Linked DNA regions of Oryzias latipes. The protein of the gene in region 3 binds, or shares a complex with, the protein of the main gene of each other region. Links are inferred from orthologs where the notes say so. Each region holds a gene or a part of one and is shown on either strand. Other genes may lie near its edges. The genes, in order: tada2b, taf11 and taf5.

Evidence for each region.
Region 1: taf5 (region 3) and tada2b share a complex: the UniProt entries of both Homo sapiens proteins name them as parts of the TFTC-HAT complex. The link is inferred for Oryzias latipes from reciprocal best matches to the Homo sapiens genes TAF5 and TADA2B.
Region 2: taf5 (region 3) and taf11 share a complex: the UniProt entries of both Homo sapiens proteins name them as parts of the TFIID basal transcription factor complex. The link is inferred for Oryzias latipes from reciprocal best matches to the Homo sapiens genes TAF5 and TAF11.

The regions. Positions count from the first base shown.
Region 1 is NC_019876.2:26,805,275-26,809,522, forward strand, and holds the start of tada2b (transcriptional adapter 2-beta), read right to left. Parts: upstream 2,801-4,248; 5' UTR 2,782-2,800; coding exon 2,428-2,781; intron 1-2,427. Other genes in the region: ccdc96 (coiled-coil domain-containing protein 96), read left to right, coding at 3,001-3,390. UniProt on the Homo sapiens protein: Coactivates PAX5-dependent transcription together with either SMARCA4 or GCN5L2.
Region 2 is NC_019865.2:19,681,647-19,685,642, forward strand, and holds taf11 (transcription initiation factor TFIID subunit 11), read left to right. Parts: upstream 1-1,195; 5' UTR 1,196-1,583; coding exon 1,584-1,757; intron 1,758-2,636; coding exon 2,637-2,767; intron 2,768-2,863; coding exon 2,864-2,951; intron 2,952-3,034; coding exon 3,035-3,131; intron 3,132-3,231; coding exon 3,232-3,362; 3' UTR 3,363-3,510; downstream 3,511-3,996. UniProt on the Homo sapiens protein: The TFIID basal transcription factor complex plays a major role in the initiation of RNA polymerase II (Pol II)-dependent transcription.
Region 3 is NC_019859.2:29,661,557-29,665,564, reverse strand, and holds the start of taf5 (transcription initiation factor TFIID subunit 5), read right to left. Parts: upstream 2,802-4,008; 5' UTR 2,658-2,801; coding exon 2,246-2,657; intron 1,333-2,245; coding exon 1,101-1,332; intron 1,026-1,100; coding exon 710-1,025; intron 634-709; coding exon 470-633; intron 1-469. UniProt on the Homo sapiens protein: The TFIID basal transcription factor complex plays a major role in the initiation of RNA polymerase II (Pol II)-dependent transcription.

The DNA.
Region 1 (4,248 bases), on a different chromosome or scaffold from region 3:
CTCACTCCGTGGATCAGAATGATCACAAGAACGCTGAGCAAAAACCCCAGAACCACACGGGGGACCTAGTGAACGACCTGCAGAGAGCTGGGACCAAAGTAACAAAGACTACCATCAGTAACACACGACGCCACCAGGGACTCAAACCCTGCAGTGCCAGACGTGTCCCGCTGCTAAAGCCAGTACATGTGCAGGCCCGTCTAAAGTTAGCTAGAGAGCATCTGGATGATCCAGAAGAGGATTGGGAGAATGTCCTATGGTCAGATAAAACCAAAATAGAACTTTTTGTTAAGAACTCTACTCGTCATGTTTGGAGGAGAAAGAATGCTGAGTTGAATCCACAGAACACCATAAGCATGGGGGTGGAAGCATCATACTTTGGGGCTGATTTTCAGCAAAGGGACCAGGACGACTGATCCATGTAAGGGAAAGAATGACTGGGGCGGTGCATCGTCAGATTTTGAGTGAAAACCTCCTTCCAGCAGTTGGGCATTGAAGATGAAATGGGGCTGGGTCTTTCTGCATGACATTGATCCCAAACAAACGAAGGAGTGGTTTCATAAGAAGGATTTCAAGGTCCTGGAGTGGCCTAGTCAGTCTCAACAACTCAACCCCATAGAAAATCTTTAGGGGGAGTTGAAAGTCCGTGTTGCCCAGCGACAGCCCCAAAACATCATGGCTCTAGTGGAGATCTGCATGGAGGAATGGGCCAAAATAGCAGCAACAGTTTGTGAAAATCCTGTGAAGACTTACAGGAAACGTTTGACTGCTGTCATTGCCAACAAAGGGTATATAACAAAGTACTGAGTTGAACTTTTGTTATCGACCAAATATGTGATTTTCTGCATTTTTGTTCTCATCTTGTCCCTCATACACTCATCTACTTACTTAAGAGGGAGAACTTGCACAATTGGTGGATGACTAAATGCCCCACTGTATTTTCAAAGCATAAATAGAAAGTAGCTGCTGGTTCCAAGAAGCCAAAATCCCATAGACTTCTACTGAGAAACAAACAGCCGTTACTCTGTCATTCTATTGGTCAGAATCAACATTCTTGCTCTGATACTTTTTTTTAAACATACTTTTGATCATCCTAATTTTTTCTGTAGTGTAATTTATTCAAGTAATAAACTAACCAATCAGATGCCTTAAAAAATAAAAATGAAAAGAAAGATTCTCCGGCTTTCAGTGGAAGGGGTGTGGACTTCCAACAAGCTCACTCCTGATTGGTGAGAGCGGTTGCCATCGGAATGTTGACTCAGACCAACTTGGACCAATCACTGTTGACTGACAACGTCTGGCTCCAACATGGCGACTTCCATATTGCGTAAAAATGGCGACTGAATTGCCTTAATTTAGCTGAAGTCAGAATTAAGTCGCTTTCCATGGATGAAGTCACACTCACTCAGCTCTCATGAAGAGTCAATGATTGCGCTCTGCCTTTGCCTAACAGCAGCTGGGATAGGCTCCAGCAACCCTGTGACCACAAAAAGGGGTTGATTGGGTTCAAAAAATGGATGAAACGTTTGACTTTAGTTACGGACCGTAACGGTTGTCACTGCACGTGCCGTTCACACAGTGATAGTATGTGTGCGTCGCAGTGCTGATACTTTAGATTAGAATTCGGAACCAGGAACAGGGGGACTTATCCGGACATTTGGGAGCCAACAGCATCTTACGTCTTTGGATCAACTTCACAGCTTCGTGAAAGCTACCGAGTGATACAAGTCCCCCAAAAGTACCACCTGGCAGAAATAAAGCCCGTAATAACATTATTTGATCGATCAAGAAAAACGTATCAATAATCGCCAAAGCACCTGAATAATGTCCTGTGATAATTTGATGGGAAGATGTTTCTAGAAGACAAAACACAAACGTTGATATTTGTACCTGTGATGACAAAGTTCTCCAATTGTTCTATCCAAAAATGTTATCGTTAAGACGTTGTTATTTCGGTGTTCAGAATTGAAAGCTCTACCAGATCTGTGGCCACCAGATTTGGTCTCTGGGTGTCTTGTGGTCCCAACATTAGTGAAAAGGGTTCATGAATCTGCTTTTACAAAGACAACTGGAGGAAGTTTCATTTAAAATGAACGGATTCTGCCAAAAATACTGAATCTAACCTAAAGAATTCATGTGGTTTAAGTCACAAAGTGAAGGCTGTCAGCTGGTTGGAGCCGTTTTAAGGCTCTGAACCCTAGAATGAAACGTTTCCCTCCGTGGTTCCGGGGGTTCGGTCTGCCAGGTGAACGTCTCACCTGTCAGTCACAGTCCTGCTACTTTCCAAAAAAAAACCGACACTTCTCTGTTAAGTTTAAACTATTACCGTCAAACTGTAGAGACACAAAGTTTATCAACTTATCCACCAAACCCGGAGGAGTTTATGAGGAAAAAAGCTCTAAACAGATGATGTCAGTGATGATGTACCCAGTTTCCGAAGCCGTACTGCTCGATGGCATCGAGCAGCGACTGCTCTTCCCTGCTGGTCCATCCTCCCTCCGCTTCGGGACCCCAGATCGAAAAGCGCCCGCCGTCGACCTGCTGGTAGCCGTGCCACCTCCGGTGGTTACCGATCTCTGCTCCCGCCGAGAAGCACTCCGGGCACAGGTCGATATCGGTGCACTCGGTGCACCGGAGCCGCAGGTTGGTGACATCGGCGAGGCAGTTAACGCAGTACTTTTTCCCCAGGTCGGCCATCTTGGCTGGGCTCCTGCTTCTTGTTTGTTGGAGGCGGAACCTCGCGCCTGCGCACATTGAAGCGTGCGGCGCGCGGCCCGTCATTGGCTCTTTGCCCCAGTTTCCAAGACAACGCAAACTAAACTCAAAGCGAGCTTTTTTCTCACCAGTTAGCAGTTTCTTTAGAATATTTACATTTTTCCAGCGGTTTAAACCCAAATGGAAGAATATTATTAAACATAAATATGGTGAAGGAAGAAAAAAAAGGTAAAGAAGAGGAAAATAAGGTTTCCAGCTGAAGCATCAACATCACAAGGGGACCTGATGAGCAGGAAGGTCATGGAAGAGGTTTCTGATAAAACACGTGACGTCACAAACAGCAGCAGGAGTGAGGTTCAAACCGGGTTCAAACCCGCTGCAGGGAGGGACGACAGCCCAGAGGCACAGCGAGTCCTCCAGGAGCTGGAGAAGGAGAACGAGGACCTCTCCCAGAGAAGTAGACAGCTGCAGAGGAAGCTGGCAAGATACGTCTGCAAAGCTGCAGAAGCAAACGCCAAGCTGAGGAGGAGCCCAGACCTGCCCAGGGACCGGTACGAGTACGAGGTCTGCATCCGGACCCTGAGCGCCCTGAAGCAGCAGGTCACGGCGGACTCAGAGTCCGCTCACCTGCAGGCCGAGGAGCTGAGCTCACAGCTTCAGGAGAAGCTGGAAAAGGTTGGTGTCTGCTTGAAACTGCACTCCTGCAACTTCTGACAGGAAGTCAATAGTTTGGGAGTTTACAAAAAAAAGAGTGTAGTGCAGGTACAAATGTAGATATTAAAACGTCAGATTTTTCAACAGTTTTGTCTGGATGAATATTATTTATATCCCATTTTGTCAAATGTCAAATGTGTTTCAGTAAAATAGGAGTTTTTCTGATGTTATGTTTAAAAAAAAAACTAAAAGTGTTATAAAGGTTAAAGAAAGTCTCTCATTTATTTATTTTTAGAAAATATTGATTCTAAAACAGCCAAAGATGAGTTAATGTGCAAAAAAAATGTCATTTTAACTTCAGTTCTGTTTATATGACTTTTTTTTATGTAACCACATTTCTAAATGTAAATAACTTTAGAAATGTGGTTCCATGTTTAAAATATCCACCTGTTTACTCAGTTGAGGACTTGGGGGCCCCAGGGGAACAACAGCATGGTGCCCTCTGCTGCATTTTTATTCATTTTTTCTTTAAAAATCCGAACCCATAGGGTAAAATGTCGGACAACCTCCTCACTGATCCACTTTTAGACAACATCAATGTCAAGAATCCAAATGTTTTGATAAAAATTTTAAAAACTTAAATGTAAAATAAAATGTGTTTCTTTATAAACATTATTTTTACTTGGAAAAACATTAAATTTATTAAATGCACTAATTTCATAATCCTCCACTTCCTAGAAGGAACAAATGTCTTTTCTTTTCTTTTTGTCAGGTTTTGCTAAAGAATAAAAAAACTTGAATGAAATAACAAAACAGTACAAAATGACATCTATAAAAAAAACCAAATATATTTAAAGTTACCGTTTGCTTTTCCTCCCT
Region 2 (3,996 bases), on a different chromosome or scaffold from region 3:
GGGGGTTGCTTGTAGTAAAATTCCTCTGTGACCCTCTTCTTCTTCTCCCAACCTCAAGTTATTCCTGAGAGCTACTATGCGGCAGGGAACAAAAGCTCCCTCCAACCAGCGGCTCCTTCTGTCCCTCTCCCCGGTGCTGCTGGCGCTCAACGGGCAAAAGTTTCAGTCAGCAGCACGGCACCAACCACCGAGCAAACTTCCTCTGACCAGTCCTCCAAGCGTCGTCCGTCACTTCCTTGAAACTGCCCTTTCTTTCTGCATCTCCAATCCAAAGCTCTTCAGTCAGACACACTCAGATTCCCTACCACCGCCGCCCTTCGCAGATTAATAAAACATATGGACGGGGAAAAGCAACATGGCGCTTGGCAGGATTCTATGAGGACATTGGAGATTGTTTTATTGTTCCGTTACCCCAGTTGGTTTGAAAATCGAGAGCTAATTTTCTAACCGGATAGTGTGCAAATCGCTTACTTTTCAATGAAAAGAAATAGCAATGTGTATATATGAATACATTTAAATGAAATAGACAAATATGTAACCTAATATTTTTTGTTCAAATGAAAATACGACCTTTTCACTACTTTACATTTTTGGAAAATGTCTATTTATTAAAAAAGAAAATTTTTTTAACACTTCACTATTTTTTCAGCTGACCATACAAAATCAAAAACATCATGTTTCCTGTCACATTGTTATTTTAATGTATTGCAATATTTTGTGGAGTTAAAAAAAATTACAGGGACACACGAGTAAGATAAACTATGTTAGAGGTTGCATTGTAAATGATAAATGAACAGCTACAATTATGTAAAATGTAATAATTGTAAGTATTATTTTCTTGACAATATTTGTTGTTGTATTTCCTGCGTAACTTTAGCACAGAGTTTGTTTTTTTTTAACCGTGACAAGGTGGCGTAAAAAAACAATGTTTTGTATGTTCTATTGGTCTTAAAATATTCTAGTTTGGTTTCGTTTTTGCAATTTTCTTCTATTTTGTGTTGAGTTTATACATATATATATATATAGAGAGAGAGAGAGAGAGAGAGAGAGAGAGAGAGAGAGAGAGAGAGAGAGAGAGAGAGAGAGCAATTTGACACATTTTTCATGGACAGTACTAACTTCAACACATTTTGACATAAAAAAAGAAACATTTAACGCCTTGTTAATAAAGTTTATTCAAAACGGAAACGGAAGCACTTGGGTTTTTTTAGGCTATTATTCGATGGTAGATGTTTACCAGGAAAGCTAGCTTATCTTCTTTAGTTTTTTGCCTTTCTATGTAGTACTTATAGTTATTTATCCATTGTTTATGTAGACCTTTTTTCTTTTTGACATAATTACCGGTGTGTGTCGTTTAAGGACCGTAGACTACATTAGTGCACTATAACAGCTAACTATTAGCTGCTAGTGTTGCGGCAAAGGGCTTTGTTGTTGACGTCTCTAGCTAGCTGTAGAGGAACGTGCATGAGATACGCAGTTTTCATCCAGAATTTATTCAAATACGCCGGCTACACAGCTGAAACTAAAGTCTCGTAATAGCTTCTTCGTTGGTGTTTGCAGACTGCTGTTTAGAAACTTAGGTTATGGCAGACCCTGCACGGATAAAGCCGGCAGAAGACAAGTCTGAGAAGGCAGCAGCATCCAAAGGGGAGCCGTGTAAAGAGACGAACATAAAAAATGAAGCCATCGCAAAAGAATCTGCAGACGAAAAGAAAGAGTTGTCCGCACAAGATCCATCCACAAGGGAGGTGAAACATGTGAGTAGAAATGACTGTGTTCAAAAATCCTTTGTGGAAGAAAAAAAATCTAAGCAAAATCTAGATGAGTGGAGAATTATTTAGGTTGTTAGCAGTACAATTGAGGAGAAAGTTACAGTCTAATGCATAGATCTATGGAAGTTTGACATAGACATACAACCAATTCTGGACCAAATCTGTTATCAAAAATTGGGGGGAAACTGATGTAATAAACAATCCACAATATTAATGGTTGTTTAAATATGATACTCGTGTTTTGGTTTTGTGCAGAGAAAAAGAACTTGGTACAATATGTCTTTATTTTCATTTAGAACATTATAGTAATTTTGGAGTCAAATATGTTTGATGCATATTTGAATTAATGGGCTTCAAGGGGTTGAACATTGATTTCCAAGACAATTAAATTGGGACCCAAGGTAAATAACTAGATAAGCCTGAAGAAAAATGTACAAAATCCTGAGTATTTATTAACAATGTTCAAGCAAAATATTTTCATTGAGGAAGTATTTAACTTATGTATTATTTTTATTGTATATACAAAATAAAACTGACTCTTTCTTAGCTTTGACATGCAGTTCATTTTTTAATTATAAAATAACTTTTGATTGACTAAATTTGGTTGAAAAATAAACCCTTCATACTTGATCACATTGGTCTACCATTGCTTTTTTTAAATCCAAGTCTTCTTTTGTTGGGTATGTTAGAGTGTAGCAAACTTACATGTAACGAGCTTCACTTACATCCTCACATTGTATTCTAAATAATTGTGCATTGAACAAACACAACATTAAAAATGGGAAGAAGTACTAAAAATTTAGGAAGGGAAATCCATTAAAGTGTAAGAAGACTTTAATCATGATGGGTTTTTTTTCTGAAAAGGAAGCTGCACCTGGAGATGATGAAGAAGAGGGAACCTCCGGTCAGCCTCCTGCAAAAAGGCTAAAGGTGGAGCCGGATAAGAAAAAGGAGAAAAGGCAGAAAGTTGACGAAGATGAAATACAAAAGATGCAGTAAGACTGCCGTTTTTATTTTTTCCTGAAATATTCCATGGTGCTGTCATCTTTATTAATTTCACCCCGTTTCTTGTTCTTCCTGGATTCTTTTAGAGTTTTGGTGTCTTCTTTTTCTGAAGAGCAACTAAATCGCTATGAAATGTACAGACGCTCTGCCTTCCCCAAGGCGGCCATCAAGAGGGTGAGCTGTCTACAAAAACTAATTCTTTTTCCTCCCAAAAACGTTCTTCTGTCATTCTTGTGGCTTTTTTGGTCGACCTCCAGCTGATCCAGTCAATCACAGGATCGTCAGTTTCCCAGAATGTGGTCATAGCAATGTCTGGTATTGCCAAGGTTTTTGCTGGAGAAATTGTCGAGGAAGGTGAGTGTTTAAGGCAACAAATAGTTTCTAGTATTATGCAGCTTCTATCCATTTTCCTGGAAGCTTAACATTTTTGCGTCTTTTGTTTTTCGATTCACAGCGCTTGATGTTTGTGAGAAGTGGGGGGACACGCCTCCGCTTCAGCCCAAGCACATGAGGGAGGCCGTCCGAAGGCTGAAGAGCAGAGATCAGATTCCCAACACAAAGTATAAGCACATTCTGTTTCACTGAGACCGTTGACCTGTGGGTTAAATGAGGATGCAGGTGATTAAAACAGCCTCAAGAGCCTCTTGTCAAACTCCAGCCACAGAGGCAGGCGGACATTCTTTTTCCAAGGACTAGTTTTTTTGTGTAAATAAAGATTTTACTCTCAAATTTTTTTTGGTACGATTTGGGTTTTAATTTTAAAAAAAAATCCTATGTGGACATAAGCAAAATTGATATTTCAGACGTTTTCTTAGTGTATTAGAGGTTCATGTTTATAAAAGGTTTGATATTATGAAAGGATCTTATAGCATTTACTTTGTTGTTGAATTGGTCATATTTTTTAGGTCTTGTGTTTACGGTCAAATCTGGGTTCAGTCCCCGTCTGAAAAGGAAGTTTCTTCCTTGCTCATCAACTCTTTCCCAATTTTGAGAAAATCAAACGTTTGGCTTTGTTATTTTGGAACATAAAACGTCTTCAATGTGATATTACTTAAGTGCTCACAGAAACATTGACTACCTCTTTGGTATAAACTCACTCGGTGAACAGCAAATCTTTTCTACTGGAAAGAAAAAAACACAGCAACATCAAACTGTGTTCAACAGTTTATTTTTTTACACTTAAAATCTTTACAGCACACTGATTTTGGTTCACAGAACC
Region 3 (4,008 bases):
AAATGACTGCAAGAAAACTCTGGAAATCTAATAAGCACAAACGGATGTTTCAGAAATGTTTTCGGTTTAGGAGCTGTGACATCGTCCAGCCAGGACACGTGCACATGTGACAGACTGTCTACAGGGGAAACTCTGCAGGTGAACCAAACAAGCCCTCAGAGCTCAAAAGCCCCGCTTTCACTGATGTTTTCAGACTTTCTAAGCTCTGTCCTGTAACACCTGCCATTCAGACGGATTCCCGCCTCAACAGCAGCTTATTTGCCCCACCGTGAGCAGTAAGAGGGGGACGGAGCTGACGGGGCTTTTCTAGAAACTAAAGCCATCCAAACACAAACCAGAATAATCCAGAAGCAGATGAAACGTCCTGGGAAACGTTAAAGCTGCTCTCCCACAGAAAGAGGAAGAGCCTGCCTGTGGCGGAAGCTCCTGAAGATGCAGAAGCTCTGCTCTGCTGACCGCAGAACCTCACCTGTTCTGCAACGGAGCGTTGGGATCTTGCTTCTTGCTCTTGGAACCCATGCTGTCCTTCTTTGGCTTCTTCTTCTTCGGCTTGCCCTCTTCGTTCTCCGCCTCTTCATCTTCATCATCCAGGGGCACTTCAATCTCTGGTTCTTTCAGCAGCCCATAATAAACCTGCAGCCAGAACAGATGGCATTGTTCTCACGGGATTACAGAGGAACGTGCTAAATCTGTCGGGAACTTCCCTCACCTTGGCTTTGTTGGCCTCCCGCTTGGCCTCTCCTGCTAAGCTGCCTGACATGGCGTCTATCTGGCTCTTGCTGCGGGGCATGCCGTCGAAGATGTCGATGTACAGGTGCTCCTGGATGATGTTCCAGATCTGATTGTTCTGGCGCTCCTGCAGGTGCCTCTTCAGCAGCTGGTAGGAGTCACGGGAGATGCGCAGGACGAACTTGCTGGTGCGGAAGTCCAGCAGCGTCTCGTTGCCTCTCATGTGCTCTTTCTTGGTGAGGCTGGATAAAACCCGGAGGTCGTCTTCGTAGTAGCACTCCTGATCCCCGCTGAACCTGCGGACGAGGCCGTGACGAGAAGGCGCGCGGAGCAGGGCGTACTTTTTTAACGTAAACCTTAAAGGGACTTACTTTTCAAAGAAGGCCTTGGCTTCACTCTCATGATTGTTGTACACCAGCTCCAGGTACATGTGGACAAAGAGCGGGTAGAAGACCTGCGACAGCTCTGCCCGGTGGCAGTCCAACACCGACTCGATGAACTTCTTCAGGTCGCTGTAGTAAACTTTGTAGAGAGCCGGGTCTCCCTGCTGGCTGTAGGCTGACAGCACCACACTGACGTCGGGCTGATCGTCTGCGACTGCTGCTGAGAGAATCCAGAGGTGATGAACCCCCACCGCGAAGCAGCCCAGAAAGACTCACAGACCCTTCAACTATGGACCTGTTGCTGGATCTGCAGCTTACCTGGTTTCAACGGTAAAGCCAGGATGAACTCATCTAAACTGGGATTGAAATTGAAGGTGATGTCTAAGAATCAAACCCGTTTACCTGATAGCAACTCTGACATATTTCAGGAAAACGATCACCTGGTTTACAGTCCATTCTCAGGGTTTGTTGACATCATGTGTGCATAAAGACTTCAGGTTTTCTGGAATCTAATGAATCCCATCTATAGTCTCAAAGTTGGAGCTCTTCAATCTGCTAAATCTGCTTTTGCCATCTTCATTTATTTATCATTAAATAACAATGAGGCTTTGTCCTGTCTTCTGAGTAGCCACATCTCTGAATGTAAAAAACAGACAAAATCAAATGTGTGAAAATGCTGGAAGTTGTCAGATGACTGAGAAGTGTGAACCTTGTTAAAGCACTTCATCACAGGATATTCTGCTGTGTGTGTGATCCTGATCACCTCAATTGATCTGATTATTTGTGTGCAACACTAAACTGTATCAGGTCAGCTGTAGACCAAAACGAACAGTGACAGACACAAATATTTGTATAAAGTATTTAGACTTATTTATATTTATTACTTAAAAAGATTCATGGTTTTAGTTTGTGTTCTTGTTAATTTGGATTCTCAGTTTGACCACCTCTCTGCTTCCCCGGGACGTATGTTGCGATCAAGTTTTGTCCACATTTGTTTGTCAGTGTGTGTAATTTACGTTCTTTTTGCAGCTTCTAAACGTGTCTTTTCGATTCTTTTACAACTGTTGCGCGCGCTTTATGAGGAGCGAACAAAGTTCCGGTGGACGGGCTGAGTCCCGCTTGGAGCGTCATACCTTTGGTCGGCGCCGGAGTTCCAGCGGAGGAAGACACGGCCACCCGGCTGAGCAGAGAGCCCGCATCCAGGCCGTCCACGCCGCCAGCGGTGCCGCCCGAGCTGGGCGCACTGCAGTCCGCCCCCTTTGTGTCCAGCGCATCCTCGGGCAGTCCCGCCTCACGCCGCAGAATTTCAACGGACTCCGTCAGCTTGTTCTTTCTCAGGAACTGTAGAACCGCCAGCAGCGTCTGCTGGTCCTCCGGCGCCCCAGCCGCACTTTTGGTGCTCCCAGCCGAGCTGCTGGAGCTCGGGGACGGAGAGAGCTGTCGCCCGTCGGTCGCATTTGTGTTCATGAGCCCGTCGCTCTGCGGTTCGGTTTTTATGTCGACTTCTTCTTTCTCGTCGACCATTCCACCCTGCACGGCCGCCATTTTCAGAATGAAGTGCGCATGTGCGAGGTTGAAAAACGAGAAGAACTGACTGCGCAAGATAAGCAAATCTGATTGGTTCTCAGAGTGACATGTGTGTGAGAAGCCCGGCCCCCTCCTGGACGGCTCGTGCGGTTCCGGGTTTTTTTTTTGTCTTGTTTTTTTTTTTTTAAATAAACCTTTATTGACATTTTATCATTCAAACTGTGTCTATGATTTAGAAAAAAATCAAAACAATTTTTAAGGCCAAAATTGATAGAACTGTATATGATAAAAACTTGAGCAAATTTTTTTCTTCAAGACTACATTTTTTTAAGAAATACACAAAATGATACATCCATACAAGGAAACAAAATAAAATAAAATAGTGGTCTAGTTAGAAGTAATACATTTGAGGTCCTAAACGTTTTAATAATTTCCTACTTTTGTGCTCATGAGATCATCAGATGACACAGCCTTTGTTGAGCTGATATTACAATGTTGTTAATATTTTTTATTAAAATGGGTAAATTCCTCTGATCAAACTAGTTTTTTTTGTCTCTGTGATTGAAATTAACTTTAAATAATTATATAAAAGATTAAAGAATAAACAAACAAAAAAAAACGAATCAAAGCGAAAACATGAAAATCAAAGAAAGAAACAAATGGGGTAAAAAAGCAATCAAAGCAAAACTATTAAGATCCCAGGAAAAGTAAAAAAGAGAAAAAAGCGTTCAGATTAAGAACAAAAAGATCAACTGAAAATTTTAATCTAAGCAAGAATATAAAGATCAAAAGGGAAATTCAATCGGAAAAGATGGATCAAAGCAAAAACATAGAGCTCAAAGAGAGTCAACGGTTAAAAAAGCAATCAAAGCAAAACTAAACTAAACAGCTATCAAAGAAAAAACACAAAGATAAACGAAAAAAATACAAAAGGGATCAAAGTAAAAGCATAAAGATCAACAGAGAAAGATCAACGGATAATTCAAAGGGAAAAAAGCAATCAGAGCACAAACATAAAGAACAGAAAAACCAAAGAGAAGAAAGCAACAAGAGCATAAACAAAATAGTCAAATGAAAAGAGGGATAAAAGTGAAAACATAAAGATCAAATAAAAGTCAGAGGGAAATAAGCGATCAGAGCAAAAACCTTAAAATAAACGAAAAACTCAAAGGAAAAATGGGCATGTCTTCTTATCTGGGGATTTAATGCAAATAGCACTTTATGGGGGGGGAAGGTGACAGATGCTAATGGTGAGGTACTGGAGGACATGATGGATGATTTATACTTGGTCTGTCTCATTGATTGGGGAGGGACAAGGATAGATGAACAAACAGGGAACATGTCAGCACTAGATCTCACTTGTGTTTGG